Linked DNA regions of Arabidopsis thaliana. The protein of the gene in region 3 interacts with the protein of the main gene of each other region in a pairwise test. Each region holds a gene or a part of one and is shown on either strand. Other genes may lie near its edges.

Region 1 (11,908 bases), on a different chromosome or scaffold from region 3:
CTTATTAGTTAAACCTAAGGCCCAAAGTCAGATTAGGGTTTTCAGAAAGTGTACTATAAATTCTTCTTCTTTAAACAACTTCGTCTAGTGGAACGACGACGGCACAAAAGCTTCACCGGAGATCAGAGACGCGAAAATGGTAAATTGTTTCTTCTCTTTCGATGTGATTTTGGAATTTGTAAAGTTCGTTGACTTTGAAGAACAACAATACATGGTTGATTGATTTATTGTATTGTTTTTCAGATCTATCATAAAAGTTTTCAATCTAAATGATGTTTGTATTTTGATTAACCTTAAAAGTCTCTTGATTTTGTATGTGTGTGAGTGATTCATTTTTGATTTTATGAATTTTGAAGGTGAACATTCCAAAGACAAAGAACACTTACTGTAAGAACAAGGAATGCAAAAAGCATACTTTGCACAAGGTTACCCAATACAAGAAGGGTAAAGACAGTCTTGCTGCTCAAGGAAAGCGTCGTTATGACCGTAAACAATCTGGTTATGGTGGTCAGACTAAGCCTGTCTTCCACAAAAAGGTAACATTGATTATCATGCATTGATTGTTTTTTCAGTTTGAATTAGGTCTAGTTAGTTGAAATGAGGTAGTTTTAAGGAACCATTTATAGTAGAATTTTGGAAGTGAGCTGTGAGGAAACAGACATTCCAATAGTCTCAGTTTTGGACTGAGATACATCTTGTGAATCTTGTTAACAGGCTAAGACCACGAAGAAGATTGTTTTGAGGCTTCAGTGTCAAAGCTGCAAGCACTTTTCGCAGCGTCCTATCAAGGTGCATAGAACATAGATCAGTTCATTATACCGGATTTGTAACTTGGTAATTTGCTTACATTGTGTTGGTTTGTTGTTTATTTCAGAGGTGCAAGCATTTCGAGATCGGTGGTGACAAGAAGGGAAAGGGAACATCTCTGTTTTAAGTTGGTTTCATCTTATTTTCTGCGATTTTTGTACTTGCTGGATTTGGAATCCATTTGTTTTAGCTCTCTCGTATAAGATTGTCTCATCTTTGCTTGTTAACTCTATATTTTGAATCATCAAGATATGGTTTTGCTGTTAATCATTGACCTTCGATATTTTTTTGCCAATCCGTTCTCTCTACCAACCTAAGAAAAAATCACTAATATCTCACATTAGAGGGTGCAAAATTTGGAAGGTCTATATCATTGTCCAATTTTCTGAGTCATACAAATTCTTTCATATGATTCATTGAACAAGACACTCATTTACTTATAAAGCGCATTTATATGTTCACATGATTTGTACAAAACTCATGAGACTGCATCAAGCAGAAAGTATTTATTTATCTTTACATGTCAAAGCTTTGAGAATTAAGCAATGACGAATACCCTAAGTTCACCTCTGTCCCCGCGAGTTATGCGCATGGTATCATCAACATAGGTAACTTCGAAATCCCCAGTTCCAGGGTTTGACGATGGTCTGAAACTGTCGGGAAGCCTCGGGATATCAAACGGAGGAATCTGCGACAAGTTTCCCGATGTCTTCACAGTTGTTTTCTCAAATGTTATCTTGATCTTGCAAGTGCCTGTTTTCCCCATAAATGTCAAAGATACAGATAAGTTATTTTGCTCTTACACAATTCGATAAACTTAATGAGAGAAAGGGAAATGCAAACCTAAGAGTTCAAACTTGTGTGCCAATGTCGCAGTGGCTTCTAATGGCGGAAATGGCCAAGGGGCTCCTAATTCCACCTCTGCTATGTTATCAAAATCTTTGCTAAACACATCAATCCGTTGAAACACCTGTTTTAATGATTCAGAAACAAGAGATAATATTAAAGAAGTTTGCTTTCTACCGATTCAGGTATGGTTCTTTGCCAAATTTAAACCAAAGAAAGCTAGATTCTAAGCTCATCACCATTCAAACTCAACCAAGAATAAAGATGATTGACTAAGACCGTACACATAAACTTGGCAATATAGAAAAAAATGATTAAGGAGTAGATGACATTGCTAGATTCTAAGCTCCTCACCATTCAAGCTCAACAAAGACTACCAATGATAGACCAGACCGTACACATAAACTTGACAATATAGAAAAAAGTTTGCTTTCGAGTATAAGATGACATTACCAAATTGTAACCTCAGAAAGCTAGATTCTTAGCTCAGCCCCATTCAAACTCAAGCAAGACTATTGATGATAGACTAGACCATGCACATAAACTCCTCAACAACTTACCCGAAAAACCGAATCTTGACGGGTAAAAACAGAGCAATGATTCAAGAATTACCTGGCCAAGAGTAACAGGGATCAAACGTCCAGTAGGTAGACCAGGACGGCTACCACCTAAAGACCGAGAAGAGAACGCACTACTATACAACAGCCTCCATTTCCCTTGAAGCTTATCAAGATCATCGGTTAAATCAACCGGTCCCCCAGCAGTTTCAAGTTCTTTAGCAGCCACTTCAGCTCTTTCTAAATCATCAACACTCGCCACAAGTCCTCTGTTTAATCCCGAAACTACACTCTGCAATTTCTCACAACACAACACATCACAAATCAAATCTGAAAAATCTTCCCAAAATTCACTCTATAATCGAATCTTAACAGTAATATAAACCCTAATTCCAAAGAAACGAAACCAATTTCTTATAATTTCACCGATTGGTTTGAATCAGACTCACAAGTAATTTGAGTTTGAGTAATGCAATTTGCTTGTCGTCTCCTCCTGATCCAGATGATGATGGTGGTGGGTCACTTTCTCCGCCAATGGATACTTCAACGAGAGACGAATTAGCAGCGAGGTTTCTCTTCTCCGGTACAGTGAAACCCAAACGAGACGATTTTGGAGTAGTTAAGGGAGAAAAGGAGTATCTGATGGATGGTGGAGGAGAACGGTGGTCGGAAAGAAGAGCTGGTGGTGAAGGTAGTAGTGACGAGAAAGTAGAAGAAGTCGCCATTGTTGAGAAGGAAAAAAAAACGAAGAGAGTGAGATAATTTGTAGAGAAGAAGAAGAAGAAGAAGACTTTAATTATTATGTGATTTGAGAAGCACCACGGGTTATTAGCGCGTATACGTGTGTGCGTAAACGAAATTGCATATTACTTTCTGAGTAAAATGATGTCGTTTTGTGCCACAAAATTTTAATTTGCTTTGGTTGTATTATTATGGACCATATGCAGTACTTTGATTTTAATCTATGTAGATAATACTAGATTAAGACCCACATATATAAAATTAAATATTGATTTTATTGATGTAAAACATATAAATTTCGACCATAGACATTGCCCAATTTTTTTTCTCCTTTTTCCATTTAAGTATGGCCCAATAAAGACCCACATCGTATGTTTTGTCACTCGGAGGCAGCATGATCCAATACTTATATACAGGTGTGTTTTTCTCTTTTAGTCATATGACATTCATGCCTTCCATTTATTTGGATATCATTTTAGAACAAATTTTTAGGCTTTTAGTAGTATATAAAGTTTGAAAATAATGTAACTTCATATCCAATATATATTTGTCTTTTGAATTTCTTTTGCTTAGTTGGTATCCATTCTAGTTGTCTATATTGAGTTAAGTTTTTTTGTTTTTTTCTGAAAGAAAAAATTAAACATTCATCTTGGAGATTACGTGAACATTTGCCGTGTTCTCTTTATTTGGGGAAATCTCCCAGTTTTATGGAGACATTTCATATTTAATCAATAAGGTTTGGTTGCTATGTTCTTCTTGTCTTAAGAAATCGTCCAAATTTTGTGGCATTTAATGGTTGGAACTGCAAAATTGTGTGGCTAGAACTGCAATTTATGATAAGCTTTTAGCAGTTTGGTTCGAAATATATGTTTGGTGAACAAAAGATATTTACAGTATGAGAATAGTAGCTGATATTAAAGTTAAGAAGAGAACTTGGTACTGGAGCTATAATGGTCAAGCTAAGACGATGTAGATATAATTACAATTTGGAAGAAGAACAAGTTGAAATATAAGAATATAGAATTGCGAATTGCGAATAATGAAAAGATAACTACTGCAAGAGATTAAGAACAGATTATGGATAACCACTTGTGTTTATATTAGGCTTGCATTAAAAGCTTTGATATGCTTAGTTGACGTTTTTGTGCTTAGTTCTGCCGTTTTCTGTTTGTGTCCATGAATCCACGTGTTAAACCATCTGCTGTACAAGGTTTTTTAGTCTTTCAATTTCCCAATTTGTGTTATTTGCAACATGTAAATGCTAATGACAAGCTACATGTTAATGCTGGAAAAGAAAAGTAGACGTTAGTTCGAATGGATCTAGATGATTCTATACGTACTATTCGATATTCGATCTTCTATTTTTTTCACTATACTCGAAGACATTGGTGCAAATTAAATATTCTAACTAGATGTTGGTTGTTAATTTTTCTAATTATTTAGTATTTGTTGCAGTGTCCCACGATTACATGAAGTTATATAGTAATTTAATAATAAATATGATAATAAAGATATTGAAAACCCCTAGTTTATCACTTTATTGGTTAACCAAAAATTCATTAATGATTATACATAAAGAGGTCTTTGGTTCGAGTCTCAGATACTACAATTTATTATCAGATTTGCAGATTTATGGAGACAAGTGTATAAGAAATCTTCAACGATATATAATTATAGCCATCATTGAAATTCTCCATCAAAAGCATAAAAAAAACGAAAGAAATGCCGTCTCTCGTGAATCTAATAAAGGCGAAATGAACTTTTTGTAGCAAAATTGTTTATATAACAAAAACATGATAATAAAGATAACTTACGCATAAAATATCGGTAGTTTTTAGTATCCGCGTATAGTTTACTTAACTAAAGGAAATATGGTATTATGACTTTTTAACACAAGATTTTAACTGGGCAGAAAGTAACATGAACGGAAAAGGTCTACAAAGTGGGGTTATCTTGAAAATGCCGTATATAACCTGTTATCGCTATTTTACTTTACATTATCGCTTAATTAATTAATGACAACTTGTGACATCTTTAATTGCGTCCAACAACATTTTTTTTGACTTTTAAACAATAAGCTATAATGACATTTTATTTTTAGAAGCTATACTTACACAGTGACACATAATAATTCAACTAAACAACCCACTGTACCCGATTGAATATTTTACAAGCCATGAAGGTTTTAAGAAGATTTTGTTGCTGATGCCTCGGCTAGCTTGAAAATGTTTTATGGATTTTACGCAAACACGTCATTTTGACAGTGTTTTAGAGATTTGTTTTTGTCTACAACTAATATATAATTAAGCTTTGGAGCCATTGAAAATATTTGGTCGATAAATAATAATCACAAAGTGTACCTCAATCATAGAAATGGAATGCTATGGTCCATATAACTTGAAATATTGTAGTCATAAAATTACGATATCACCTAACGGAAAATAGTCTTAACATTTGAACATAACATGTGTTCAGAGAAGTTATAAATAAGTGTTCAGAGAAGTGATTTTTTATTTCTAAGTTATAAATAAGTGTGAAAAAGTAACTTATGACTAAAAAATATTTTGTGAACTTTTTAATATTATTATTTTTGCAAAACAACGCACTATATATGTACCTCGTACACTCTAATTAGCTCATCCACCACGGTAAAATTTATTTATTATTTTGCATTTTTTATTTGGTTAAGCTGAAACATATCATTATCACCAAGCAATTATATATGTACCGATAACCCATGCTGAGGAAATTTTCTAACCAAACCTTTGGGATCAGAATATATATTAGTAAATAATCATACTTTAACTTAGATTACACTAAAAACTAGTTATCGTTTTAGAGTTTTTTTTGTCTGACGAGATCTCGGATGCTTCGATTACACCTGACTTGTTAGATGGGATGCATGACCACATTTTGGCTAACATGGCGTGCAAACGATGACGTGGAGGCAACTGATTGGCTCCACTGATTCCCACAAATTTGTTGCAAAATCAAAAGTAGGGCCAGACTAATTATATTATTTTTTTGTGGATGTCTATAATATGAAATTTGAATCAATACGTAATTTATCGATTCTTTGTCTAATCGATGTCAACTAAATTTAACAAATTATCTGGAAGTCACTCAACATTTTCCTTGATAATGCTAGTTTCTTCGAATCTTAAATGAGGCAACGCATTGTCCATTGAAATTTTAAGCATATAGTGTATATATGTATTTATTTTTCTAGCAAATTCAAAACGGCCTGGGATCGTTTGGTTTGTAATCAATATATGGGTTTTTTTTGGTCAACAATCAATAATTAGTATTTTTGAGAATTCATGAAATACTGGATGAGTAAATGAGATAATTTTTATGGATGATCACTAGCACATGGTTGCTAACCAGTGAAGCACCTAAAAAATCACTGCAAAAAAGTTTGTAATCAATTTCGTTGCAGCTAAGCAACATTTATGACTAATTTGAGTAAATATTAATTGACGATCCCATGAATTTCACCTAATTGACGAGTCCCTAGATTTGTTTTAGAGTAAATTTTACAACTTCATATACTTTACATTATAATTAACAAACTAAAAAACTCGTAAACCAAATAAGACTTTGTCTAATGGTCCAAGCATGACCTCTCCAAAGATATAATATGTTTTGATATATACGTGATAACCGATCAGATGTTGTATATACATATTAATGTGTATTAATTTCTTCATATAATATTTACAAATTTTTGTGAGAAGATATCAAGTACACGTATATCGAATAAGAAAAGCTAGATTGTGTAAAACGTTACGGGGCTTGTGCATTAACTCACAAGTTGGCTATCACAAGTTTCAAATTGTGGTGTTTAGAGCATCGCAGTTGTCAAACAAAAAAAAAAAAAAAAAAAGAAAGAGTATCACACGTGATTGTTTTCCATAACTATGAGAACTTTTCTGACTATTTTCTTCTTTTGTGCCTTTGTTATGTTTCTTCAATCATTACTTAATTATTAATTACTAATCGATTTTCGTTGCCTGTAGTTTTCACATGTTGTAATCTAGAAAACTGAAAAAGACTTTCCCCATAATAGTCTCTGCTAACTACATACTAGTCCCTATATTTTGCAATTTTAAGTGTTTTTAACCACTATCTTAGAGACTCTAAACATGAGGACCCTAAAAAATAACCATCATCTTAAATTGTACGTAAGAAATATATTCAATCTACATCAGATGATACCAATAAAATTCGGCATATAAGTAGAATTTGAAAGAAACAACAACGTGGGTAGATATGCACCATTTACAACAACAAAAAAGAAAAATCAATTTTGGTCCAACTTTTTCATATACATTTAAATTGTCAATTATCATCATAATTAGTAATACGACAAACTGTCGTATAAACTAGAAAAATACATACATCTACTATCTAAAACGACAGATAAAAATACGTAATCATCAAAAAGAGTTAAAAACAAGTTTTGGGGTTCTCTTAGCAATTTTGTTTTATATGTCTATTTTTATGTAACGCGACAGCTGTAACGTTGTGTCTATATATATACTAACAGAGTTTGTGCTTCGAAATCTTAAGAACTTTCCCAGTTTTGTTTTTTAATCATATCAAAGCAAACTGTGTGATGGATAAGTACAAAGTCGCCGGAAAATTTGGTCTCCCGGACATCACGGTGGCAGAGATGGAATCTTTAGCTAGCTTTTGTGAAGCTGTCTTGCCTTCAGTGCAGCCACCGCCGGAAGAGCTTTCCGGTGAAGGTGATAACCATCGGAACAAAGAGGCTCTCCGGTCATTTTACTCAACTTCTGGGTCTAAAACTCCTGTCCTTCGCCAGGTTCACACACTTTTTCTTTATATTCATCAAATGATCTGTTTTTTTAACAAAATGCTAAAGTTTTGACACTTTCAAACAAAAAAACACAAATCAAGAACGTGTGATATTTGAAGATTTGTTTTGATTTGTTCGATTAGTTAAAAGGATTCGTATTGATCGAGTTCCAATAAAATCCTTGTGGTTCTCTTTTGACTTCTATAGACCTTTTAAATGACAAAAATATCTAGCTCTTTTTGTTTTTTTAACGTGAATATTATTAGTCTAGGTTTCGGTCTAAAATTAATTGCGGTTATTAAAAAGACCTTAAGGTTTTGAGTAAAAAGTGAAAGATTTGTTAATGGATGCAGAGCATTGAGCTGGTCACGAAACGAGGGACAATAGAAGCTTATATTGCTACTAGGCTTATATTGTTCTTGCTTGCTACTCGGCTTGGGACGCTTCTCATTTGTGGAACCGAGTGTTTGGTCTCAAGATGGCCTTTTGTCGAGAAATTTAGTGAGCTCTCGTTGGAGAAGAGAGAAAGAGTACTTCAGAAACAATTCAAGAATTGGATTCTGACTCCAATTAGAGCTGCTTTTGTCTACATCAAAGTTGCATTCCTCTTCTGTTTCTTCTCCCGGGTATGTCTCAAATTCTCTCTGTTTTCTCCAAACCTTATCTCAACCACATAGATTATGTTGTTCTGTCCGGATAAAACAGTCTAGTACAAATCCAAATAATCGAAAACAGAATCGCATGGTTTAAATTCATTTACTTTCTATATAATCCAAAAATTGATTACAAATAGAGCCAAAAAAAACTAGAAAACGTATCAGTTTTATTGTTTTCTAAATTAATGATGATCTCTAAGGAAAAAATCATCCAAATTCATATATACTAAAATTAGAAAATCTTAAACCTGAAACCGTACGTAACGTATTCATATGAGATTTGTTTATAACTAAAATTTACTATTTTACTATACATAAACAATTTGATCCCATTATTAAAAACTTTGATCTTAAATGAGTACCAAGCGATTTAACTAGATCATTTTCTGATTTGGTTACAATAAACCGATCCAAAATTTTGAGAATCGTGAACTAAACCAAAATCCGGATTCAGAGCCTATATTATATATGTTAACTCTGTCGTAAAAACAGAGCTACTTATAGAAAATGTTCAAGAATTTATGGATATGTCGTTTCTTTTGTGTAGGTGAATCCAAATGGCGAAAACCCGGCATGGGAAGCCATAGGGTATCGTGTTAACCCCGATGAGAACAAACCTTCTGAAACTCATAACGAAAGACCACTTGAGAAAGGGATAGTGGAGACGATGGAAGAAACAGAGCAGACTCTTCTTGAATCACTTGCTCATAAAGGCCTAGAAGCGGTTCTTGACACGGAGCATGATGCGATCAGAATAAAATGTGATGTTGTGGTCGTCGGGTCTGGTTCAGGAGGAGGCGTAGCAGCTTCTGTTCTAGCGAAATCTGGTTTAAAAGTGGTTGTTCTTGAAAAAGGAAGCTACTTTACGCCTTCTGAACATCGTCCTTTCGAAGGTCCTGGCTTGGATAAACTCTACGAGAATGGAGGGATTCTCCCGAGTGTTGATGGGAGTTTTATGGTGTTGGCTGGAGCAACTGTAGGTGGTGGATCTGCTGTGAACTGGTCTGCGTGTATCAAAACCCCGAAGTCGGTTCTTCAAGAATGGTCAGAGGATCAAAATATACCTCTTTTCGGTACTAAAGAATATCTAACGGCTATGGAAGTTGTGTGGAAGAGGATGGGTGTCACGGAGAAATGTGAACTGGAGAGTTTTCAGAATCAGATTCTGAGAAAAGGTTGCGAAAATCTCGGGTTCAATGTTGAAAACGTGCCAAGAAACTCCTCGGAGAGTCATTACTGTGGATCTTGCGGGTATGGATGTAGACAAGGAGACAAGAAAGGAAGTGACCGGACTTGGCTTGTCGATGCGGTGGGGCACGGTGCCGTGATTCTTACTGGATGTAAAGCGGAGAGATTCATACTCGAAAAGAACGGTAGTAACAAAGGAGGCAAGCAAATGAAATGTTTGGGAGTGATGGCTAAATCTTTAAACGGAAACATAGCAAAGATGTTAAAGATTGAAGCTAAAGTAACGGTTTCAGCAGGGGGTGCTCTTTTAACACCTCCGTTGATGATATCTAGCGGGTTGAGAAACCGAAACATCGGTAAAAACCTTCACTTACACCCTGTTTTAATGGCGTGGGGTTACTTCCCGGACAAGGAATCTTCTAACATCAGTTTCAAGGGAAATTCATATGAAGGCGGGATCATAACATCAGTGAGCAAAGTGTTATCAGAAGATTCTGAAGTCAGAGCAATCATAGAGACACCGCAACTAGGACCAGGTTCGTTCTCCGTTTTAACTCCTTGGACCTCTGGGCTTGACATGAAGAAAAGAATGGCTAGATACTCAAGAACCGCGAGTCTCATAACCATAGTTAGAGACCGCGGGTCAGGAGAAGTTAAAACCGAAGGCAGAATAAACTACACCGTGGACAAAACCGACAGAGATAATCTCAAAGCTGGGCTTAGAGAGTCGCTAAGGATACTAATAGCAGCTGGAGCAGAGGAAGTGGGAACTCACAGAAGCGACGGGCAGAGACTAATATGCAAAGGTGTCAATGAGAATTCGATCCAAGAGTTTTTAGACTCGGTGAGTACAGAGGAAGGAGCAAAGGGAATGACTGAGAAATGGAACGTTTATAGCTCAGCTCATCAGATGGGAAGCTGTAGAATTGGAGAAAATGAAAAAGAAGGTGCAATAGATTTGAATGGAGAGAGTTGGGAAGCAGAGAAGTTGTTTGTGTGCGATGCAAGTGCGTTGCCTAGTGCTGTTGGTGTTAACCCTATGATCACAGTCATGTCTACGGCTTATTGTATCTCCACAAGAATCGCTAAGTCCATGACCACTGGTTTATCTCATTGAACTAAAATAACGTATACTTTCTATTCATCCTAATCAAATTTATGTGTAACCAACATGATAATTCATAGTTAAAGACTCTTCTATTGATCATGTCTACTAATAAAATCCATGTTTTGGAAACGTTATATTTATTCATCTAATTAGAGTGTTATAAAATATTGGACTAATCAAGTTGCAGTGAACTTGGAACATAAGAGCACACAAGTGGTCGGAGATTTTGGTTTGGAGATTCTCCAAGATCCACTTCTTCAAGGATCCATCCTCTCCAACGATGTAAGCTGCATTGCACATCAACTACTTCTTTTTGCCTTTATCAAAAACCACTGCAACTTTCTTCTCCTCATCAATGAAGAAACTTGCATCACTAAACGAAAACATAGAGTAACGGCCGGTGAGTTCTCTCATATCCACTGATAAGAAGAACTTGCTGCTCCATGACACCGTGTTGGGCTCAATCTTAGTTGTAACCCAGATCTCCATCTGTAATGTATCCATACGCTGAAATAACACCGCAAGCTGCTCATCTCTAACATTAGATAATAACAGAGAACTCTTGAAGATACCACTCAAAGGGCGGCGAAGGCAAACCGCGGCCCAAATGTCTCCCTTGTGAAATCAAAACAGAGTAAGAAACTATGGTCTCCTTGTCTTGGGATTTCTGAATATGCCTCTTCAGCAAGCCAATATGTATTTCCTTTGAGAGAGGCACCAGACACAAAACGGTTATAGTAACCTATGTTCCAGTCTCGAGATTGACCCTCCATGAGTCAGAGTTAAAGTCGTAGATTTTGAACTCAGCAGAAGTGGAGGAGACATAATCAAACATCATACCAAAACTCAAGATTTTGTGGGATTTGGTACTGCTATTGTATCCGAGAGCATACGAATATGCATCTAATCTCTGAGGATTATTTGTAGTCTCGATCCACCGGGTTTGTCCACTATACGGGTTACAAACCACAAGCCTAGGGTTGTCTTTCATGATGCATAACAATAAACCGTCGCAGTGAAAGACGTGACGGACGTAAATTTGATCTGAAGCGTCGGGGAAAAGAAGTTCACGTTCACGCTTTATACACAATTCAACGTTGTTCTGAAGATTTATGCGCATCAAATAAACCCTAAAATCCATCATCATGACCACCTTATACTCTCTTTTCTTTGCAGCTACTTT
Region 2 (10,217 bases), on a different chromosome or scaffold from region 3:
ATCGGAGATCAATGGATTCACGTTCAACAAAAACTTCGTTTGAGAATATTCTTCTCAATGATTATCAAAAACTCGTTAATTTTAATAATCAAATCAACAACCTTACTATAGCAAAAGTATTTATACTCGTTAAAACGAAAATCATAGATAGGTAAATCTGGAGAATAAGCAACTCCAAACTGTCTTAACACCAAATATATCCATTTATAATTGAAAAAGAAAAGATGATCCTAAAAAACATAATTAAGATAGAACTAAAAATAACTTATGAACCAATATCGAGAAGACAAATTTGCAAAATTAAATAAATAAAATAAGGAACCTAACATATTTGAGAAACGAAGTTGCAAAGATCCACTCCATCAACTAAGCGATCATGAGTACCTGAAAAATTAAATCTAGAGTTATTGGCATCCCACCAAAATCCTATAATATCGTCTGTCTTGTAATTGTTTCGTTGGAGAATCATACTCCATCCATGAAATTGAAAATCTCCATTTGCATCTTCTTGTACAGTAAGAGTTGTTACAATTTTAGTTTCAAAATAAAAAAAGTCCAAATAACCTATGAAACGATTCTTAGGCAGTAAAGGTAACATTTTGGTTTCTACTATCTCTTTTGAAAACGTTATCATATTACTCAAACCCACATCTGATGGTGTTAACGTTATCAAGATGTTGAAAGAGGTGTCTGCATTAAACGGCCTATCTGAATACAGCTCGGTGTCTACCATGAGTTAAAACACAAAGATATATAAAAATATAGGTTTTAAAGTGTTCTTTACTTCTTAGAGATCTAGGTAAAATTTGTGTTAATAAAATTGGTCATGTGCTAAGCATACATATATAATGATAATAATTTGTGTCGAGTGGGTAACTGTAAGACCTTGTCACTATAAGAAGATAAGATTTTATTTAATTATTATCATTGGATTCACTATTAATTGAACTTCATTTCTTGTTGTTCTTTTTTCTTAGACAGAAATTTGAACTTATTAATTTCTCTTAATCAAAGTAACACTAAAGCAATGTTATAGGTTCTTAATTTACAAGAAATTTTGATGACTTTAGTAATATCATATAAAATAAATAAATAAAATATTTTTAATTATTGTTAGAGACTTTTCTATAATCTTGTTAATTAGTTTTTCACAATCTTGTAAAGTTTCTCAAACAATCTTTCTATTTTGATGATACTTTTTATGACTTCATGTTGCGAAGAAAAGTGTAGAAAGTTATAAACAATAACATAATAACTTAATTCATTAACAAACATAGATTCTTTTGTTTGATTGAATAACACAAAACTTTTTATGACTTTATAAAAATATGAATCCAATTACTCCAAATTTACAAAGATTTTAGATCATTATTTACAAATCTTAAAATTAATAACACCAAACTTTATAAGAATCTTGATTGAACAACAACAGATTCTATGTAATATTTTATTAATTCATTAAAACTCTATTTAAATCAGAAAACCTATAACACCCCCTAGTTTTGTCTAATTTTCATAATAATATGACATATGTAGATTTATAGTTAACTGAATTCTAACAATTGTTAAAGTACACCAAATATTTGACATACATTGCTAGTAAAATACAAATAGCTCGAGGAAATGTACGAGCCCACGACCCTTCCAATTATCAAAAGCATTAAATTACAAATAAAGTGAACCTTCAAACTAACTAAGAGAAATATCCAAAAATAATTGCTAGTGTGTTTGATTCTAGACAGAAAATGGAATTTGCTAAAATGTGCTTTGAGAAACTTTATGGTGTAGACACTTCAGAAGCCAAGGAGATGTATAATTCTGTTTATGATGTCATGAAGGCTATGCTGAAGGAGTACACTGTTATTTTCAAGGGACCAAACACACAATCATCTCAGTCTAATCCGCCTTCATCTACTGCTGCCAGAGATATTTTTGCATGTGAGTTAGCTGAAGATAGTAATGTTGAGTTTGAAAGGATGGACAGGTCTTATAAAGAGATGGTTAATGAAATTAGGGTTACTGATCCTAAAGATGAGTTAGATATATATCTGAAGGCAGAGGTAGAAAATCCTAAGACTCTTCCTGGAATGGAGTGGGATGTCTTGTCTTGGTGGAGACTCAATAGTCAGAAGTATCCAGTTTTATCAGAAATTGCAAGAGATGTACTTGCAATGCAAGTGTCATATGTCGCATCTGAAAGTGCTTTTAGCACCAGTGGTCGTCTTTTGGAGCCAAGTAGAAGCTGCCTTACTCATTATATGGTAGAGACTTTGGTTTGCCTTGAGCAGTGGTTGAAAAGTGAAATCAAGCTGAGTGAAAACACTTTTCTAACAAATACACAACTTCTTGCTGATATAGAATTACTTGATAAGCTTGAGAAAGGTAACTTTATCTATGTAGTTTACTAGTTTTAGTTTTAGATGTTGTTTGAAAACTCTCTTATGTTCTAACACAACTTGGGTGTTGATTGAATCTTTTTCAGAGTTTCAAACTGAAGTGAATTTGGACTAAAAGACTAATCAAGGAAACGACTACAAGGTAACTTCATCACTCCATTTTGTTTTCTTTTACTTCTGAACTTGGTTTATAGCTCAATGTTAATATACTAGACTTATGAATCAACGATCATTTCGTATTTGACTTTTACTTGGTTTATGGTTTAATGTTTATTATGGTTTTTTATTTTTCAACTGAGCTTATTTGGTTTTGATGTAACAGGAACAAGTCATGGGGAATCTATCATGTTTGGATGTTGCTTTGGATTTGAACTTCTTTCTTTACTTTGAATGCTTTGGATTCGATTCTAAACGATGTTTTTATGTCTTGCTTTGGATTTGAACTTCTTTCTTCTATTTGAATGGTTTTATTTGGATGTTTTGAATCTTGCTTTTTGGGTTGAACGTATGAAACTTTTATTATGTCATGCTTTATTGATTTTACTTTAAGTTTTTTTTATTACAAATTTACAGGTTTTATGGTATATGTGGTTAGTATCAAGTATGTTCGGGTATATTATAGTAGTTATAAACTAGTATCGAATAATATTCGGTTACTTTTTGGATTTTTCAATGGAAGTACCAATACCTACCCAAACCCAAAATTTACCGGATCGAACCCGAACCGAAGTTTTCAAATACCCGAACGGGGTCTAAAATTATAGTTCCGAAAAATCCGAACCCGAAAAAATCGATCCGAACCCGAACCGAATACCCAAACGCCCAGGACTAGGAGAAAAATACTCCTATCAACCAAATGAGTGTATATCAGACGATGTGTACGGACTAGCTTGATAATTAGTACAAGCGTCAAACAACAATTTTTTGAAATAAATTTAGAATTTTGTGCAATAAAAGCAAATTTCTTTGACCCAGCCGGTTATGCTCTAGTAAAATTAGTTAATGATCGCTAGAAGGACAAAGTCAATCTTGATTTTGATAATATCCTAATCTAACCAGAGTAATTACAAATTAACTGTATATGGCATAACCGATATTTTGGTAGTAATTGATTTGGCTCCTTATTACCATAAAGAAATAGAATTTTATTATAAAGAGATCAATTTTCTGATAGGTTAACTATACTAAGCTGATTAATATCAGTGTTGCGTGATTATATGGTATATTACGATTTGTATATCTTATTAAATGTGGATTATTTCTTAAAGCTTTTACTATGACACTAGGAATATATAACATTAATTTTCGTTTGATGTCGAAAATAATGGTTAGGTGAGATATAACAATCATAAACTAAATTAAAATAATATTTAACTTATCACGAATATTGTTCACATTGCTAACATACTAGCATGTATCCACATAGTATTGTTCACATTATAAGTAGAAAATTCTTATTAAAAAATAAAAAAATCACTACATTTTTTAATGCAATTTTATTGTTTACCTCCTAAAAAACAGATCAATTTCATAAAATAAAAAATAACTCGTAATAAAATTCCTCAAAAATAACCGATTTTGTATTATTTACTTTTTTGTCAATCGATATAAATTAGAACTAAAAAAAGTTAATCCCGAAAGATATTATTTATATATATGACATGATACGATCGATTTTATATCTATTTTTATCATTATTACCCCCGTTATTTCACATTTCTTATAACCTTTTGTTATTGTATAATTTTTCTTTTTATTATCAATCGGAACAAAGAAATACAGAAGTTAAAAGCAAAAGTAGTAAATATTATTAAACAATTATTGCGTGTAAAAATAGTGTATATGTGATCGTGTACAAAAGTACATGCATAACATGATCAATATAGAATGCAATACAACTATACAAATGTCAACAATCTACAAACACGTTTTAACTTTGAAAAGCAATCTAAAATTCATGAATCTAAATATACTCTCTGGCAGCTTTCTTATTACCATATCTTAAAGATTGAACCAAATAAATAAATTTACATCATTAACCAAATTAAACCATCCACATTTAATTTAATTACAACAAGTAAGTAAAAGATCGTCTCTTTCTTCTTTCCCGGAAAATCCTCTCATTTTTGACTTGCTCAATTTTGCTTCCTTAAGACCCAAAAATCCAAACCTAACCCTAATCGACATTTTCTCCGATTTCTAAATCCTCCTCCGGTGAAAATGTCTCACCTTGATGATCTTCCTTCTACTCCCGGAAAGTACAAAACCGATAAAGTTCCACCGTACGGGATTCTCCACCACCACCGTTACCTCCGTCTCTCAAAACTCACCCTTTGGGCTTCTCTCTTCCTCGCTCTCTTCCTCTTCTACCTCGTTTTATCTCCTCCTCCGTCACCATCTCGCCGGAATCTCAACGATTCTTCCTCCATTTCCGCCGCGAAATACGGCGGCTCTCACTGGGAGAAACAAGTCCGTAAATCCGCTCGTCCTAGGTCTCACGGCGGTTTAACGGTATTAGTCACCGGAGCTTCCGGATTCGTCGGTACTCACGTCTCGATCGCGTTACGAAGACGCGGCGATGGTGTTCTAGGTCTCGACAATTTCAATCGATACTACGATCCAAAGCTTAAACGAGCAAGACAAGGCCTTTTAGAAAGATCAGGTGTTTTCGTAGTCGAAGGCGATATAAACGACGCCGTTTTACTCAGAAAGCTCTTTGATGTTGTCCTCTTCACACATGTTATGCATCTCGCTGCTCAAGCTGGTGTGCGTTACGCAATGCAAAACCCTGGCTCATATGTTAACAGTAACATTGCTGGGTTTGTGAATCTATTAGAAGTATCGAAATCAGCGAATCCGCAACCTGCTATAGTCTGGGCTTCCTCTAGCTCTGTTTATGGTCTGAATTCGAAAGTACCCTTTTCGGAGAAAGACCGTACCGATCAACCAGCGAGTTTGTACGCAGCTACGAAGAAAGCAGGTGAAGGAATTGCGCATACTTACAATCACATCTACGGATTATCGTTAACGGGTTTGCGGTTTTTCACTGTCTATGGACCTTGGGGTAGACCAGATATGGCGTATTTCTTCTTTACTAAAGATATTCTTAAAGGGAAGACGATTACTGTGTTTGAATCTCCTGATAAAGGTAGTGTTGCTAGGGACTTCACTTACATTGATGATATTGTAAAAGGTTGTTTAGGTGCGTTAGATACTGCTGAGAAGAGTACTGGTAGTGGTGGTAAGAAGAAAGGTCCTGCTATGTTTAGGATTTATAATTTGGGGAATACTTCTCCTGTTCCTGTTACTAAGCTTGTGACTATATTAGAGAAGCTTTTGAAGATGAAAGCTAAGAAAAAGATCATGCCTCTACCGAGGAATGGGGATGTTGAGTTTACTCATGCCAATATCACGTTAGCGCAAGCAGAGCTCGGTTATAAACCTGCGGTTGATCTTGAGACGGGTTTGAAAAAGTTTGTGAAATGGTATATGGGTTTTTACACTGGCTCGAAGAAGAAGAGTTCTTGGTGAGCTCTGTCTCTCTGCTTAAGTCATGGTCTCTGTTTCCCCTTGTTGAGCTTGGAGTTCGCTCTAGGTTAAGCTTTTGAAACCGAGCACTTGCATTGCCAGGAAAAATCACTTACGTATCTGCATTGTTTCTGTGTTGCTAGATTTTGCTTCATTTATTTGTTAGTAGATTTTGAGCAATGTACAGCTTCATCACTTAGATGTTTCAATTGTCGAAACTCAATTGTCTTTTCCATCATGTCGGAGGAATAAAGTAGCTTGGATTTTGATGCATATACTCTGTAGTAATTCAATCTATTGTCACTTGTTTCTTGTGAATTCAAACATATATTTATTCTTATTCTGACCAATTTTTACATAGCTCTAATCACTTGACTAACGATGATGGTTTGGAAGAACAAATCAAATCACTGCATAATCTTATAACAAGAAACAATGAATGTTCTCTAGCCTGAAGTTTATGTAATATGCCAATAGATTCACAAGATTGTTCTCTAGCCTATACCATGTTATCTTCCTCTGCGCAATCAACCACGACATATGCGATGATGTTATCGACAAGTTCTTGAAGATCCAACACCATCTTCAGTATCGATCTTCCACCAGTCAACACCATCACCAATCTCCACAGGTTCCACCTCTGTTCCATTCTCAATCTCATCATCATAATCAAACTCGTAATCCCAAACACCGCAAGAACCACCTCTCTCTTTCTCCAAAGCAGGATCATAAGTCCACTCCAACTTCTTCAACACATCTCTATCCTTCCACTTCCCCACAACTTTCTCAACTTCCTTCTTCGCCTTCCCCATCGTCACTTCCTTCCACGAATACGCAACATCCGCTACTCGCTTCAGCGCACCTTCGTTCGAATCTCCAATCACAACCGTCCTCAAACACCTCTCCTTAGCTTCCCACAAAATCCCCGCAAAATCAGAATCATCAGACACTAAAACAACACACTCCACTTCTCTCTTATCCATCACTTCAACCAAATGTTCCTTCAACGCCTTATCAGCAGCATCTGGCTTATCACTAACCATCTTCACCCAAAAACCAGCTCGTTTCAGCTCATCAGCTAAACCGTAACCTTCCTTCGGAGTCAAAACATTCCTCGCCGCTCTTTTATACTTCTCAATCTTCATCGAATACTTAGCCACAAGTCTCACTCTTCGATGTCCTTTCGAAGATTCAATCTGTCTCATACGTTTCTGATTCTCTGTCTCATGAATCTGCTTGAAATGATTAATTAGCTTCTCGTTAGTGTAGAATCTCCGGTCACAAACACCGCAGAAGTAAGGCTCCGGTGGTTTAACTAAACCTTTGTTCTCTAATTTGTTTAGCAATTTCCTATCTTTCCTCTGTTCTCGAACTTCTAAAGGAACGTAGCTAAAGGCGTGACGATTCGCATACGCCATCATTAGCTTCACGGTTCCGAAAGACGACGCGGCGGTTCGGAGCTTGACGGCGGCGTCGTAAGGCGGGAAAGAGGCTGGTGGTTTGTTGTCTAGATCCCACCAAACCCCTACTCGGATTTTGGGTTTAGGGTTTATCGAGCTAGAGCTAAAGCTAAAACCTTTGATTGAATTGAGAGATGTGGTTTGGGTTTTAGGTCTCCAACTTTTTAGGACAAATCTTGAAAACATCGCCGGGATCTTTAAAATCGACGGAGAAGATGGGGGCTTCAAAAAACCCGGTTTACATTACATACCCGACCCGGATCCGATTAGAGTTCGGCGATTCTCATGTAAGTTCAATCTGGAGCAAAGAAGAAGACGAATTGAAATACAAAATATAACACCTATAACCCTGAACTTTGTAAATGTTACAATTTTCTTCCTTAACTTTATTAGGGAACAAAACACACCACTGTTCATAGAAAATTATCAAATTTCTACTGCATTAGGTTATTACTGTTATTGTTTTGAATACAGTAAAAGATAAAAACAAATAAATAATGAGCGACTAAATTTTAAAAGAGCAAAATGTGTAAATAATAGAAAGCACATTGGTTTAATCCCAAAACCCAACCAAAGTTTTCTTCCAAAAGTGTAATAACTTGAAACATACAGAGAACTCTTGCTTTGTCTTACAAACTTATACAAAAAGTCAAGAGAAACCAAAACAGATCAAAGAAACCCAAAAGTAAAAAGATTTAAACAACAAAAGAGGTAATAAATAAATAAAGAACACTAAACCAATTGTCTGGAGATAAAACCACCACCGTGAACCAAAACCAATGTACAGTAACACAATGTGAAAACCACACAAGACTGATAAACTTCACCAGCGAGTTGAACTAATATGAGGTTGTTCAATGATGAACTCAGTAACTGAATGGTGTCTGTGGGTAAAGGCGGATCGTTGGAGCTTCCGGAACTTTCTGGAAATGTCGGTGATTGATCTGAAGATGAGCTTCCAGAGTCTTGAGGCATATTGTTGTTACGGTCGTCCTTCTCCTCATCACTCTTCTTCTTGCTCTGGCTGCTACCGTCTGTGCCATCTGCGCCGCCTTTTGGAATGCTTTTAACCACTTCGGGTCGTGGTTCTACTCCTACCCGCCTTAAGTGTAGCTGAAAACATAAGAGTGAGATTCATCATAAGAATATAATGTTTTGATGCAGTAACATGATGTTCCTTTACCAAGCAATAAAACCGGTTTGATTGGAAAAAAAAATCCCTTCAACGGTATGAAATCTAAAAAATAGGTAGAGAAGTTTCAAGTTTCTTTAAAAGTTCATAATTTCTTGAAAAGAGCCTTAGGAGTATATAAATTCGGCTGTCGAAACTGAGTATATGTATACTTCAAATTTGGCTTTAGATACTGAGTAGATATGTACCTGTAGATGCAAATTGACTTCGTCGGGCCGTGATAGGAATGGGAAATCTCCTCCACTCTTTAAGTAAGCTCTCCTTGCTTCAGGATACCTCTCTGTTAGTTCATCTTTAAGATGTTGTGGTATTGCGCAGTAATCATTTGTCTGATTTGGAAGACATAACAGCATTGTTAGACAACGATAAAATTACTTGCATTGATAATACGAAAAGTCCCGTATATAGCTAATCGAAACCTACATCCATTATAGTAACTGAAGAATCAGAGAGTAGTAGAGATCCCACGGAAGCAGCATCCACAGTTAAAGTTAACCGGGAAGCCAAATCATCTTTCGACAATGTCTCCACCTAAATCAGAGTAAACCAAAGAAACCGAGCTGGTAAGTTTATCTAAAATTCCTTGTCCACATGTTATTCAGATCCGTTCAAGAAAATATCATAGATGAAATAATCAGGATAGCAACCTGAGAAACAGCAAAGTCGACAGAGTCAGCTATAAAGGGTTCATGAGGTCCGTCACGAATTCCTGTTAAGACGTATCGTTTAAGCAAAAAAGAAGGGGTCCAACTGACACTGCACAGAGCATCACGAAAAGCGTTGAGAGTCAGTACAAATACTTAGGCACAAACAATAAAAATAAAGAAGGAATAATCGTATAAGAGAGACATACAAAGGAGCCCATGGCATTGCAGTAGCAAAAGTACGAGTATCCAAATATGTATTTGATAGAACTAATGATTTAACCCGCCTTGGACGGTGATGAGCAAAGAGTTGTGCTAAGAAGCCTCCAAGGGAAGTACCGTAGAGATGCACCTATTAAGAATGGTCAAGTACAATCACTTACAATGCCATATATTTCCGCACCAATAAAAAAATTTAGGAACTTAGATGGTGATTTGTAACTTAAAGAGATCTTACGTGATGAACATCAATGGTGTCCAAGAACTTCTCAAATGCTTGAATCCACTCATGATAATTCCAAACCCGTGGAATATCAACTGAGATTACCCGATAACCCTGGAATTGCAGATTTAACAACATAAGTTCAACATTTTTGGAGATATCTAATCAGTCCCCAAGGATCACATCAACACATAAGCATCTAAGTTACCATATCCTAACAAATGTTTAAAGCTACCTGTGATTAAGAAAAGATTGTTTGCAGATAACTGTTGAAAGACTAGAACTTGACAAACCTTCATAGAGAGTGCCATAATCTGTTTATAGTAAACATCTGCAGTTCCTGCAATTCCAGGAATACATATGAGCGGAGGAACAGTCTTTGGACCAAAGTCATAGTAACGCCATTGCTTTGTCCCAATCTGCAGTTAGCATGCACATAAAGCTAGATATTTATAAGATTGTTTATGCTCTGAGCAAATGACATTCCAAGAAAAAACAAAAAAAATGAAATCTTTCATTCCGAAGCTTGAAACAGTGGACATACATGTACAAATG
Region 3 (11,474 bases):
GCTGAGAGTCATAAACTGGAGTTGAAATAAAAAGCGATGAACTGTGGCCCTCTTTGGCTGGGTTGAGGAAAGTTTGATTCTCAATGTAGCTTACGATGCTTAAACGGATGACATGAGATTCTCCCATCCCACGGAGCAGTTGTAGCAGTAATGCGATGAAAGATCAAGCTCAATGGAGATTATTTAGGTGTTTAGGGAGAGTATGTGTGGGATGAGCGAAGTTGTGTAAGAATAGGGAGGGAATACGCATAAGGATAACTCTGAGAGAATACTCTTGTAGTAGTTGATGTAACTTTTGTCAAAGATTATTGGTCTTTTAGTTTTGTTCTTATACTTAGCGCCTCCGGAGAGAGCGAGAATATTTTAAAAATACTTGACAGCACTGTATTATATACTGTAGTAATTTTGTTACTATTTTAAATTTGTACTCGGCCTTTGGTCTTGATCATTAGTGTTAACAATGTGAGTTATCAGAAAGCAACAACTATGAAAGTAGAGACTGTGGTAACGAAGGATCGTAAATAAAATATGAAAGATTATCAAGACTCAAAATCTTTACCGAAAAAAACATTCCTATGACAACAAAGAAAGTTTCTGTAGAGCTTTTGATCTATAACAACAAATCACTGTTTGATGCATATTTTGGTTAACATGAGTAAAACATAGATAACTCAAGTTGTGTCAGTTTGAAAACGCTGAGGGCAAACATGTTACAACCTATATGAGGTTATATGGTGTGATCAATCTCTTTAGGCTGTATAAAGGAGTCCCAAAGCCATCATTGCCAGCAAGGAAAGGCTGAGATTAGCAGCAATGGCAACGGTGCCTGAACGAGGAGGAGTTTGTGGCGGACCACCTTCAGTTCCATTGGAGGCCAACTTTGCAACTGGAGGCAGAGGCGGATCAATCACGTCTTTGGCATCAAGAGGTGGGTTTGGGGGAATAGCTGGTAGTTGTGCTTCCTTGTCTGCCACGGTGAGTAGAGCTCCAGCATCTGCAGGTAAGATGGCATAGGGCTGGTCTTTGTTCAAATCTGAACATGGACTCCCTGCATTTGCATCAAATATAATTGATCAGCCTTATCTTGGTAATGTTTTTGTTTTTTGTTTTTTTGTAGAAGTTTAAACTTACTTAGGTATCTGGTAGCGGTGGCAGGGAACTCCGTGATGACTCCATCAACGCCTCTCCCTGCAATGAATGTTGCAAGCTCTATCGTAGGATCAGAGAAGTAGTCGAACGCTATGGCGATGTACTCATTTCTTAGCACCGAGACGTATACAGAGATATTCGCTTTGTGCATTTCCTCTACCACATTAGTTTTCCCCGTGGCAAAGCTTTGGGAGACGGTGATGAGGGAAGTTCTCAAGAGATTGACAGCATCTGCATGCTTCTTGATTTCTTCGATGGATGTCTTAGGAGCATCTCCGATCTCCTTGTCGATACTCAAGACTCTTGTGTAAGGAGGGACAGCCTCGAAACTAGATAGAACTGAACTGTCATCCGACTGAATCAAAACCTTCTGGGTTGATTGCTTGTCGAGTGTGGAATTTGTAAGAGCAGACTTGACTACGTCTACGACTCCTAAGCCTTTCTTCGAGGCTAAATAAGCAGCATTCTGTCAACAAAAACAGTGTTAGTGGAGCTTCCTTGTGTTAGTCAAGGAGCATTTGGAAGTTAAATGGCTTGCCTGAATGTTGATTAAAACTCCGGTGACTGCCTTTGCTTTGCCGAGCTCAAGGAAGTCCGCAAGAGTCGTGAACTTCCCGGCGTTCTTGTTTGCGGGGTTTCTCTGGAAGCCCGTGGCAGTGAAGGGGTTTTCTATTTGTGCTGAAGACAAAGATATCCCAATGCTCAGTGACTTAGTTGAGAATAAGATTAGTTTAAGAAATCTATAGAAAAGAAATCAGTTTCTTACGCTTCACAGACTGGATCTCGGCCCATGTAAGATCAAAAGAGAAGATTCCGTTGGTAGGCTGGATCTCAGGAACGCTGGTGGCTCGGGACATGAAAGTAGTCCTGGCGGTGGTACTTGCTGAGAGGTCTGCAGCATCATGGCAGAAAGCGATTCCGTCTTTGGACATCTGAACAGAGCAGTCAATTATGTCTGCTCCATCGTCGATTGCTTTCTGGTAAGCCAGATCAGTGCAGCCTGGATAGTCTCCGCTTGCTCCATTGTGAGTTATAACCAATGCATGCCCTGCTTTGGGGAGATTGCCGTTTTGGTGAGAAAAGCAAGCTGCAAGAAAACAGACGCTTTAGCTTCTTCTTAATAATCAGCTATCTGAGGAAACATATATAGCAAGTCATCTCACTGATTGATTGTGATGCTGTTGGCGGGAAATCGGTGATGACACCATCAACAGAGAACTGGCCATTGTCCACAAACTGGAGATACTCAGCAGAGGGATCATAGCTGTAGTTAAAGCTGGTGCGCAAGTCGTTGGCAAACCCTGAAGCATAGACCTCTAGACCGGCTTTGTGAGCATCAGCCACAAAAGTGGTGGCGGGCTTAAGGTACTTAGCTGAGTCAATGGGCCAAATGTAGTCTTTGGGCACAAGAACGCCTGAAGCAAAGGCCTTGATGGCTGCGAGGTTCTGCTGAATCTCGCTGTACTTCTTGTTGGTGGTGGGCTCAACTGCCTCGGGGTCTTTGAACTCAAATATGAGCTTTGTCTTGGCCCTGCCCGCGTCCATCCCGATGCTCTTCAAGAAACCAATCTCTGGAGATGAGATGACATTAATGCCGCGGAATCGCAAGCTTCTCAGGTACTCGGCTGGGCTCAGCTTGTGTTCCATGTAGAAGGCATCGTACTGCACATTTGCATTGTTTGTTGTTTTGATGAATCAACAAAAAAGCTCCATATGTTGGTTAATCATGTTCTCAAAGAGAAGAAAACATACCTGAACGCTCAACCAGAACTTGGGAGGCTTGGTTCCAAGGACATCCTCCACTGCAGAAACCGACATTTGGCCGTCGAAGATGCTAGGCCGAGAGAAGATGTTCTGGACCACTGCTCAATAATACAAAACATGAAAATGTGTGGTGGTGGTGGTGAGCATTGAAGGGAGGAAATGAAAGAGAAGAAGACATACGAGTGACTTTGTTGAATATGGTGTCGGCATCGTAATCAATGACAAACCAGCCCTTGAGGTCCTGACCGTTGACCTTGTAGGTCTTCTGGGCTTTGGGGAAGACCGAGGAGATGGTGGTTGCATTGTCAAGTCTGATATCTGACAAGCAAAGGCCCACACCGTCCTTAGTCATCTGAAGGTTGCACAACATTGTGAAGCCAGGCGAGCTGGTGCCAATAGCCAAGTCGTTTGCAGAGATGCTTGACTCAGGGAAAAGACCCGAGAAGCCCCCTCTGGCCACAACGGCAGGCTCTTGTCCTGGAAGACAAAAGACAGGTACGGATTCTTAGAAACAAACAAACAACATGGTATCTTAAGTCTTAACATTAAACAACAACAAAAAAAAAAACATGGTAGTATGCAATATGGGCATACTCTGTAAAAGGATGCTTACCGTTAAGGGTAAGCCATTTCTTGGCAGGAACAGCTGCGGCAGCAGCAGGAGTCTTGGGTGCCGCAACAGAAGAGTGTAAGAAAAGGGAGAAAAGAATGAAAAACCTCAGCATCTCTATCTGATTGATCCTGCATTTGTGTGTAACGTACGTACCCCAATGGAAAAGCAAAGTCAGGATACATGTAACAAAAACAGAATTGTCACATTTAAGAAAATTGTGAAAGAGAGATCTTACAGCGAGAAAAGAACATGAATCCCCTCTCCTGCTTGTTTTCCTCGTTTAGTTAGAGGAAAGGAAAAAGAAGAGAAAGAGGAGATGGGTCAAACAAGGTTAATTAATGGTAAAAAAAAGTAACTTGCTCTCATATCCTCCATTTATGGCCATTTACTCCTTTCTATTTTTATCTCTTCTTCTCCACCATTCCCTTCTTAACCGCTTTTTCTTTTTTTGATGCTTTCTTACATCTTCTTTGCACAAATGGGTGTAACACCCCTCAGTTTTGGACTTTGTACTATATTCATTTGTCATACATGTATGTAGTTAAAATGACAATATTAGAGTTTGGCATTCGGACCAAACCAAGTTGTCCGATCTAAACCAAACCAATATTCCGTTAATAAGAAAACTCGATTGGCAAAAATTAAAATATTCTTTGGTTTCAGTTTTTGCCTAGACTTAAAATTCTTAAAAATCCAATTCTATGTGATGGAAAAATCTTTGATTCCGGTCCAATTCTGCATCAATATATGCTAAACCGAACCGAGACTGCCCACATAAAATTGAATTGAACCAAAGGTTTTTAATTTTTACTTCAACATAGCGAATAAGAAAAAGAGGGTATATATTCATTATTCAATGTTAATGAGAAGGCGTCTGCGTTTGGTTCGACACCTCAAAACTTGTTTTGCCTTTAGCATCTCCGAGTAAGGAATCCAGGTCCAAAGCCTCTTCTCTTCCTCCTCCTCGCTTCCTTCTCACGCAACCTTGGATCCACCGCAGCTATGAAGATCACCGCCTTGCTCGTTCTCAAGTGCGCTCCCGAAGCTTCTGATCCCGTCATCCTCTCCAACGCTTCGGACGTCTCTCACTTCGGTTATTTCCAGCGATCTAGCGTCAAGGAGTTCGTCGTCTTTGTCGGTCGCACTGTCGCTAGCCGAACCCCTCCTTCCCAACGCCAGTCTGTTCAACACGAAGGTTCTTCTCCTTCTTCTTCTACCTCTCTAGATCGATTGTTTTCAAATCTTCTTTCTCCCGGATCTAATGCAATCTCCTTTCCTCTTTGATTTTTATTCGATTTCTAAATTCGGATCGGCTTTTCGATTTTGAAACTTTTATGATTTAGGATGTGCACCGTTTCTGATTCTAGATCTTCCTGGACTATGCCCCGGCTTTAATTTCTTGCGATTCTATCTTATTGTTCTAGTCCTCGAATTTGGGATAATTAGGGTTCGTGTTTTTATTTTGTTTTTGGTTTAGAGTACAAGGTTCACGCTTACAATAGAAATGGCCTTTGCGCGGTGGGTTTCATGGACGATCATTACCCTGTTCGAAGTGCTTTCTCTCTTCTCAATCAGGTAATATCATTATGTTGAAAGTGGTTCTCAATGCATCATTCGTAAGTTTTCCTGTAATTTGGGTTGCTTGACATTTAATTTTGTCTCAGGTCCTAGATGAGTACCAGAAGAGTTTTGGTGAGTCATGGAGGTCTGCAAAAGAAGACTCCAATCAGCCTTGGCCATACTTAACCGAAGCTTTAAACAAATTTCAGGTTCTTCACTTGTGCAACTGTATTCGCTCTTTTACTGTGAATTTTGTTAAAACTGTAGTTATATTAAGCTCAGTTAGGTGGACATTAGAATCCAATCGAATGATTCATTCTTCATGAATTAATTTTAGTAGCCCCCATTGTTTTATGACCATGTTGGATTTTGAGTGATTTGATCTTAAATTGATTTTGGGATTGTCCCGTATTTGTAATCTTCAGGACCCAGCAGAGGCTGATAAGCTGTTGAAAATCCAGAGGGAGTTGGATGAGACAAAGATTATCCTTGTAAGTGCTGTCTCCGGTCCTTTCTTGTAGACCCTTATACATAAGCGGTACTTCCTTTTCTAAGTTTCAGTATACTTGCCAATTATACATAAATGCTGTTCTGTCGGTGAGTTTACTTTCTTCTGAAAAACACCAAAACAAGAAGAAAGTCTTGGTAGTTATGATGGATGTCCCTGTCTCCGTAAGACTGATTTTTTGTTCTGTATTGTAGCATAAAACCATTGATAGTGTTCTAGCCCGTGGTGAGAAGCTGGACAGCCTAGTGGAGAAGAGCTCAGATTTGAGCATGGCATCACAGGTAACATTCTAAAGTCACATTCTAGAAATTCTTATAGATTTAGTTTCCTTTTTTCCCTGTCTCGATCTCTGAGCATAGTTGGTGAACACGTTAGAAAGGGTTGTTGATTTAGCAGGCTTATAAGTGTTGTTGATTGATAGAGGAACTATTGCATGTTATTGTTGGGGTAGATAAATAGAGGAAGAATGTGGATTTAGAATACCTTCTTTGAAAAAGCTTTCTGCTTCAGCCTGCAGACATTTGAGTGCAGTTTGAACTATACAGTTGGATTTTGGAATTATTAGGTTTGCTACGAAGAATCATAGTGTTTTTTGCTATATCATCTGACCATGGGGAGGAACATATGTATTAGTCATATCCTCTGGAATCTCAAGATATTCTTCGTTATTTAGATTAGGTAAACCATGTTTACTTCCAACATGAAAATCTGATTTGGTTGTATTGGTTGGAACAGATGTTTTACAAGCAAGCGAAGAAAACAAATTCATGCTGTACTATTCTGTGAGCTGGAAGTCCTGCTGGGTATATAGTCAACCAAACTTTTGCTGGGGGGAGACTGTTTTTTCTATCGTCTTATCTATACATATAATTCCGTCTGTAGTTTGCATGCATTATTTTGATTCCATAAGTCTCGAGTCGTGTGGTGTGTTTATCCAAATACATAATGTCAACTTCTGCAAGATTTGAATTGTCTTTCCCAGATTTGATCTGATTGAATTTGTGTGCGCTTCCTTATGGTAAAAGAGACGACTTTGCATAACTAGATGAAGATGTCGTAAATAGACAAAAGCAGATGATGGAAGATAACTAGAGTAGACAAAGGGGGTAGTATATTACACAGACAAAAGGATCAAAGAGGTGAAACAAAGTCTTTGTGTGCCGTGTAATCTATTTGCCGAAGAGAGATTTGAACCACCAAACGCCCTTGGAGTCTTCAGGGGCAGTGTTGGACTCAGGTGGTGTGTCACTCTGAGGAGTCTTGTGAAGCTTGCTGATGTCATAACCTTCCTCCACTGCCTTCTCCACCAGCTGCTTATACGTCTCTTCCTCCATTTGCGCCGTCCTGCTCAATATCTACACCACCCACATATACAGAGTCAATCATTTTTGGGATCAATTTCGATTATTCGTTAAAGAGAAAAAAAAAAGAGTACCAACCCAGAGATAACTCCTGGAAGGCTGGCCAATGAGAGCGTGCTGGTAGTCAGGATCGATGTAGAGCACCCAGTAGTCTCCGGTGACGGGAATGATTGGGAGGAAAGGAGGGACATAGAACTTGACTTTGAGCTTGGCTTCGTCGCTTTTAGGATCGGCCTTATAGGCGCTGCCTTCGATAAAACCCCTCTTCCCGTTGCTCCACGTTTCGTTCAAGACGTGTATGGTACCGTCGGGGTTAAGGGTGTAGGTGGCGCGAGTGTCGACGCCGTTCTTTGGCTGAAACCTTGATGGGAAAGAAGCAATCTCGTACCAACGGCCCATGTATCTCTCCACGTTGAGCCCTTTCACCACTTCCATCTCTTTCTTCTCTGTCATTTCTCTTCTTTTTCTTTTCTTCTTCTCTAAGATTTCGATGTTTTCTTTGAGGTAAAAGGATAAGAAGAGATTCTGTTCTTTATAAGGAAATAAAAAAATAATATCAAGGAGATTTCGCTGGGACGAGAGGATGCCACGTGGAAAGCGTGTAGGGCAAGGGTTCTAGTAGCGTCTAGCAGTTACAAATGTGAATAAAGGTGGAGGACACAAATGTCTTCCTTGTTCTGTGGGAAGAAGGATACAATACAATGGGCCATACAGTCACATTTTGATTTGACTTCCTCTAGCCGTTTCTAGGCCCCACCAAATTATCCTATCGACATCTAAATATCTCTTCTTGTTGACACTTCAAAATAGCTCCATATGTAAACCAACGATCTCAATTAGGCCCATTACTATTCGTATATTGGTTTTGAATAACAACACTTATTCAGAAACTTTATAAAATAAATTTTTGTAACAGGCTCGCTTTCAATTCCAATTCATAAAAGAGAGTATGAAACAGGTTGGTGTACTATGATCTATTGACAGTCGGAGGAAACAATGTGGGAAGAAATTTAAAAAAATCACATGAAAATGGTCTCAAGTGGAGAAACTTAATGCAACTGGTAGAGAAAGAGATGACTAGCTAAGGTGGAGGAAATGAATCAAAGCCAAATCTAGTAGCCACTGGCACCATTCCGTTATTCTCCTCCTGCAACAAACACATTCACTTTCATTTTCTACAAACTACAAAAGCTTTTAATCCAATCAAGAAAACAACCGCGTTACCTGTTTCATCATCTCATTCATTATGTCATCGAATACATCATGCTGGTTGTCATTCTCTGGCTTTCCCGACTTCATCTCTGGATCCAGCATTGTAGTAGCTTTTCCAACATACTCTTGACTGTTGTCTATTGGGTTCATCAGTGACTCATCCAAGCCTTTGCTTCTGGTTGAATTGTTGTCTCTGAAAACCATGTTATCTGCGGGTAGAGGATACTCAATGTTACCGAATGGATTGTTCAGCATGGTGCAGTTCTGTTGCTCCCATTTCTGTCCGCCTAACGGATTCACGTTCTGCATGAAGCCGCCAAGTAATTGAGGATCACACTGCATCTCTCCACCAGGATTCTCTGCAGAAACCAAAGAAGTACAATCTCCCAGATTGTTCCCTGCACATGTCACTTGATCCGGCAAGAAAGCAAGATTTAGTGGTAAGGAACTCGGTGGGAATCTGGTTGTGTTCAAATTCCCTTGCCAGCTATGACCAGGAAATCTAGATAAGCCTTGGAAACTGATGTTTGGGGAGGCAGAGTTGGACGGAGTTCCCTCGATGCAAGGCTGAATTCCATCTGAGGCTATATGCAGGGGTTGTGTATAGTTTGCTTGCAACATTAGAGGATTGGTGGAAGCACTTGGTAAAGAGGTGCTAGAGCTACCAAATGGCATACAAGTATCTAGGAAGCTACCGCCAATAGCTCTGTCCCCTAAGCCTTTAAAATCTCCAATGTATGACTTGCTTCTAGGAAACTGGAGGGGTTCTAGTGGAGATGAAGTTCGCTGAAACAGATTCACGTTCTGGATTCTTGGTGACAGAGTACTGTGATATGTTCCAAACGGATTAGCTGAATTGCTTGAGTTCTGGTGATGCCCCTGTTGGATGAAGCTGGAGGAGTTCATTCCTTGGAGATTTATCGATGAATACATAGGGGGTTGGAGTTTGGTGAGATGGGAACGCGATAAGAGTCCTGAGCTTGGAATTTGTCTTGCGGCAGTAAAATCTCTAAGTCCATCAAGTTGAGCCATCTGAAAGTAAGATGAATCTCTTGTTCCAAATGCATCTGGGGTCATATTTTGCTGCTGACCTTCGTCTATCTTTTTCAAGTACAGTCTGTACTTCTGCAACCAAAACCAGAGAATAAAACAAGTCTAACCATCCAAGATTATATTTGCGAAAGAAGGGGAAAAATGCAAGAGAGAATGGGGAATTAGTACCTGCAAATGACTGGCTACGTTTTCCCTAGTGAGACCTTCTATACTCATGAGATCAAGTATTTTTTTGGGAACAGCCTCTGTGATGAACACAAGGAGAAATGAAAAGAGGATCCCACACATGAAAGCATCAAAATAACTCTATAGGAGAAACAAGAGTGGACATCACACATAAGGAAAGGTTTAAAGAGGTCTATGGGGAAACTCACTGTCGAGGCCCAATTGCTGAACGGCACTGACAAACTTCTGGTGAAGCTCCTGAGACCAAACAACACGTGGCTTCTTCCGCGTACCTGACCCGTCACCATCCTGTTCACTCCCCTCACCATCATCCTCTTCTCTGTCACTGTCATCTTCATCACCACTGTCATTGACTTTGTCTTTCCGTTTCCTGCTGGCGCTTGGGACGGAATCAGATTCAGAAGGTGGGAGCAGTTTTGCGTAAGATTTAATGTTCTTCTTCACAACATGATGCCATATATTCTGAAGCTCCTTGAGTCCAACAGGCTTGACCAGATAATCGCAAGCGCCATGTATAATACCTTTCATAACGCTGTCATAGTCGCTATGAGCTGACAACACTGAGACAATGAAGCAGGTTACAATAAGGGCTAGAGTTGATATGAAAAACAATGGTAGGAGACGTACTGATGACAGGAAGGTCCATTTCAAGACCAATTTCAAGCAACTTAAAACCATCCGTGTCTGGCATCTCTACATCGCTTATCACCAGATCAAACATGTTGCTGTTTTCTCTCAGCATTTCCAGAGCTTTCCTCGACTCCATTGTCTTTGTCACTGGCGTAATCAATCAAACATCATTGACCATGCACCCCAATTCCGAAGCAGACAGGTAAAAAAAAACAAAAGCAAAGAATATGTAGTACCATGATACTTGCAACGAAGCAGCAACTCTTCGAGTTTCCGAAGGCAGGTTGGATTGTCATCCACAGCAAGAACCCTCATTCCTACAGGAAACTTGTCATGCCTTCCATCTTCAGTGCTTCCAAACTCCATATTTGATGCAATACGTTTGCAAGTCTCCTCTCTTCAAAGGAATATAGTACATAGACTAAAATCTGATCTGTTTTATTCTTAAAACCTCAAGTTTGGGACTAGAAGAAGACCATAGTCCTCCTATAGACAAATGTAAAAAGATAAAGACGAGTGGCCCAAAAGAGAGAGTGATTACGCGGTTAATCTGGCCCTTAATTCTCCAAATAATTAGAAATTTCCTTCTGTTTCTGCTCATATTTCCATAAATGAGGACGTGGAGAGAGTCACATGTTCCTCTAATTTCTCTTTTGTTGGTTGAATCTTGCCTTATCTGAGCACAAAAGACAAACTTTTCGTAAAGTGAATGTAAATGTCCCCATTTTGTTTCCTTACTCGCAAATAAACGTTCAAACCCAACGTTTCAACCTTTCCTGGCTTTCCTTATATATATGCATTTCCTATTTTCCATAGAAATGTTTTTCCTTTTTAGTCTTCTAAGTGAATGCACCAAAACAAAACAAAAAAAATCTGATTTTTGACATAACGCGTATGGTCTCAGTTCCAAAAAAAAAGAGAATTCGACAAATGCAATGGACTGACCTGATCACATTCAGGCATTCGAATCCGTCGACTCTTATTACTCCACATTCTTAGTCAATCGTCATACTTGTGATTACTCTGCCATTTTCTTGATTATTCTATCTGAAATCACAACCAATGTGAAAACTGCGTCACAGATGATTGTTGCTGATGAGTCTCCAACAGTCTTAACTTTATCCATCACCAAACCCTTGGAACTATGCACCACTCCAAAAAATAGTCTTTGATCTGATTTCCACTACCACAGAGACTTATTTTCCAGTTTCCTTCCATTTGAAGAAATCGACAACTCTGTGATCTTCTTATACTCAGATTATTATTACCATTCGATTTCTTCAAATGGAAGGAAACTGGAAATAAGTCTCTGTGGTAGTGGAAATCAGATCAAAGACTATTTTTTGGAGTGGTGCATAGTGCCAATTGGACTCAAAGATTAAGAAATTAGATAATCGTCTCCTAGTTTCCTATCTAGAAGAACGAGAGCAAGGAGAAA

The links.
Region 1: the proteins of SVL4 (region 3) and FAO3 interact in a protein complementation assay, tested with the Arabidopsis thaliana proteins (one large-scale study listed by BioGRID).
Region 2: the proteins of SVL4 (region 3) and GAE5 interact in a protein complementation assay, tested with the Arabidopsis thaliana proteins (one large-scale study listed by BioGRID).

The regions. Positions count from the first base shown.
Region 1 is NC_003074.8:8,375,291-8,387,198, forward strand, and holds FAO3 (fatty alcohol oxidase 3), read left to right. Parts: upstream 1-7,381; 5' UTR 7,382-7,569; coding exon 7,570-7,779; intron 7,780-8,040; exon of another isoform or gene 8,041-8,120; coding exon of another isoform or gene 8,121-8,126; coding exon 8,127-8,399; intron 8,400-8,976; coding exon 8,977-10,734; 3' UTR 10,735-10,891; downstream 10,892-11,908. Other genes in the region: AT3G23390 (Zinc-binding ribosomal protein family protein), read left to right, coding at 137-139, 357-536, 715-789, 875-934; FIB4 (Plastid-lipid associated protein PAP / fibrillin family protein), read right to left, coding at 1,346-1,560, 1,651-1,777, 2,266-2,502, 2,660-2,935; AT3G23420 (F-box and associated interaction domains-containing protein), read right to left, coding at 10,983-11,012, 11,056-11,340, 11,492-11,908. UniProt on the Arabidopsis thaliana protein: Long-chain fatty alcohol oxidase involved in the omega-oxidation pathway of lipid degradation.
Region 2 is NC_003075.7:7,285,248-7,295,464, reverse strand, and holds GAE5 (UDP-D-glucuronate 4-epimerase 5), read left to right. Parts: upstream 1-4,344; 5' UTR 4,345-4,616; coding exon 4,617-5,927; 3' UTR 5,928-6,273; downstream 6,274-10,217. Other genes in the region: AT4G12240 (zinc finger (C2H2 type) family protein), read right to left, coding at 6,476-7,570; AT4G12230 (alpha/beta-Hydrolases superfamily protein), read right to left, coding at 8,117-8,497, 8,765-8,905, 9,000-9,107, 9,224-9,332, 9,430-9,572, 9,678-9,776, 9,956-10,081. UniProt on the Arabidopsis thaliana protein: Involved in the synthesis of the negatively charged monosaccharide that forms the backbone of pectic cell wall components.
Region 3 is NC_003076.8:23,493,749-23,505,222, forward strand, and holds SVL4 (SHV3-like 4), read right to left. Parts: upstream 3,854-11,474; 5' UTR 3,762-3,853; intron 3,655-3,761; 5' UTR 3,639-3,654; coding exon 3,527-3,638; intron 3,391-3,526; coding exon 3,094-3,390; intron 3,012-3,093; coding exon 2,902-3,011; intron 2,812-2,901; coding exon 2,313-2,811; intron 2,237-2,312; coding exon 1,916-2,236; intron 1,828-1,915; coding exon 1,688-1,827; intron 1,616-1,687; coding exon 1,132-1,615; intron 1,049-1,131; coding exon 750-1,048; 3' UTR 501-749; downstream 1-500. Other genes in the region: FIP1[V] (FIP1[V]-like protein), read left to right, coding at 196-252; YKT61 (SNARE-like superfamily protein), read left to right, coding at 4,529-4,721, 4,870-4,943, 5,012-5,101, 5,191-5,295, 5,512-5,577, 5,789-5,875, 6,330-6,380; TIL (temperature-induced lipocalin), read right to left, coding at 6,764-6,949, 7,034-7,408; RR18 (response regulator 18), read right to left, coding at 8,037-8,102, 8,180-9,292, 9,389-9,465, 9,595-9,966, 10,034-10,183, 10,273-10,402.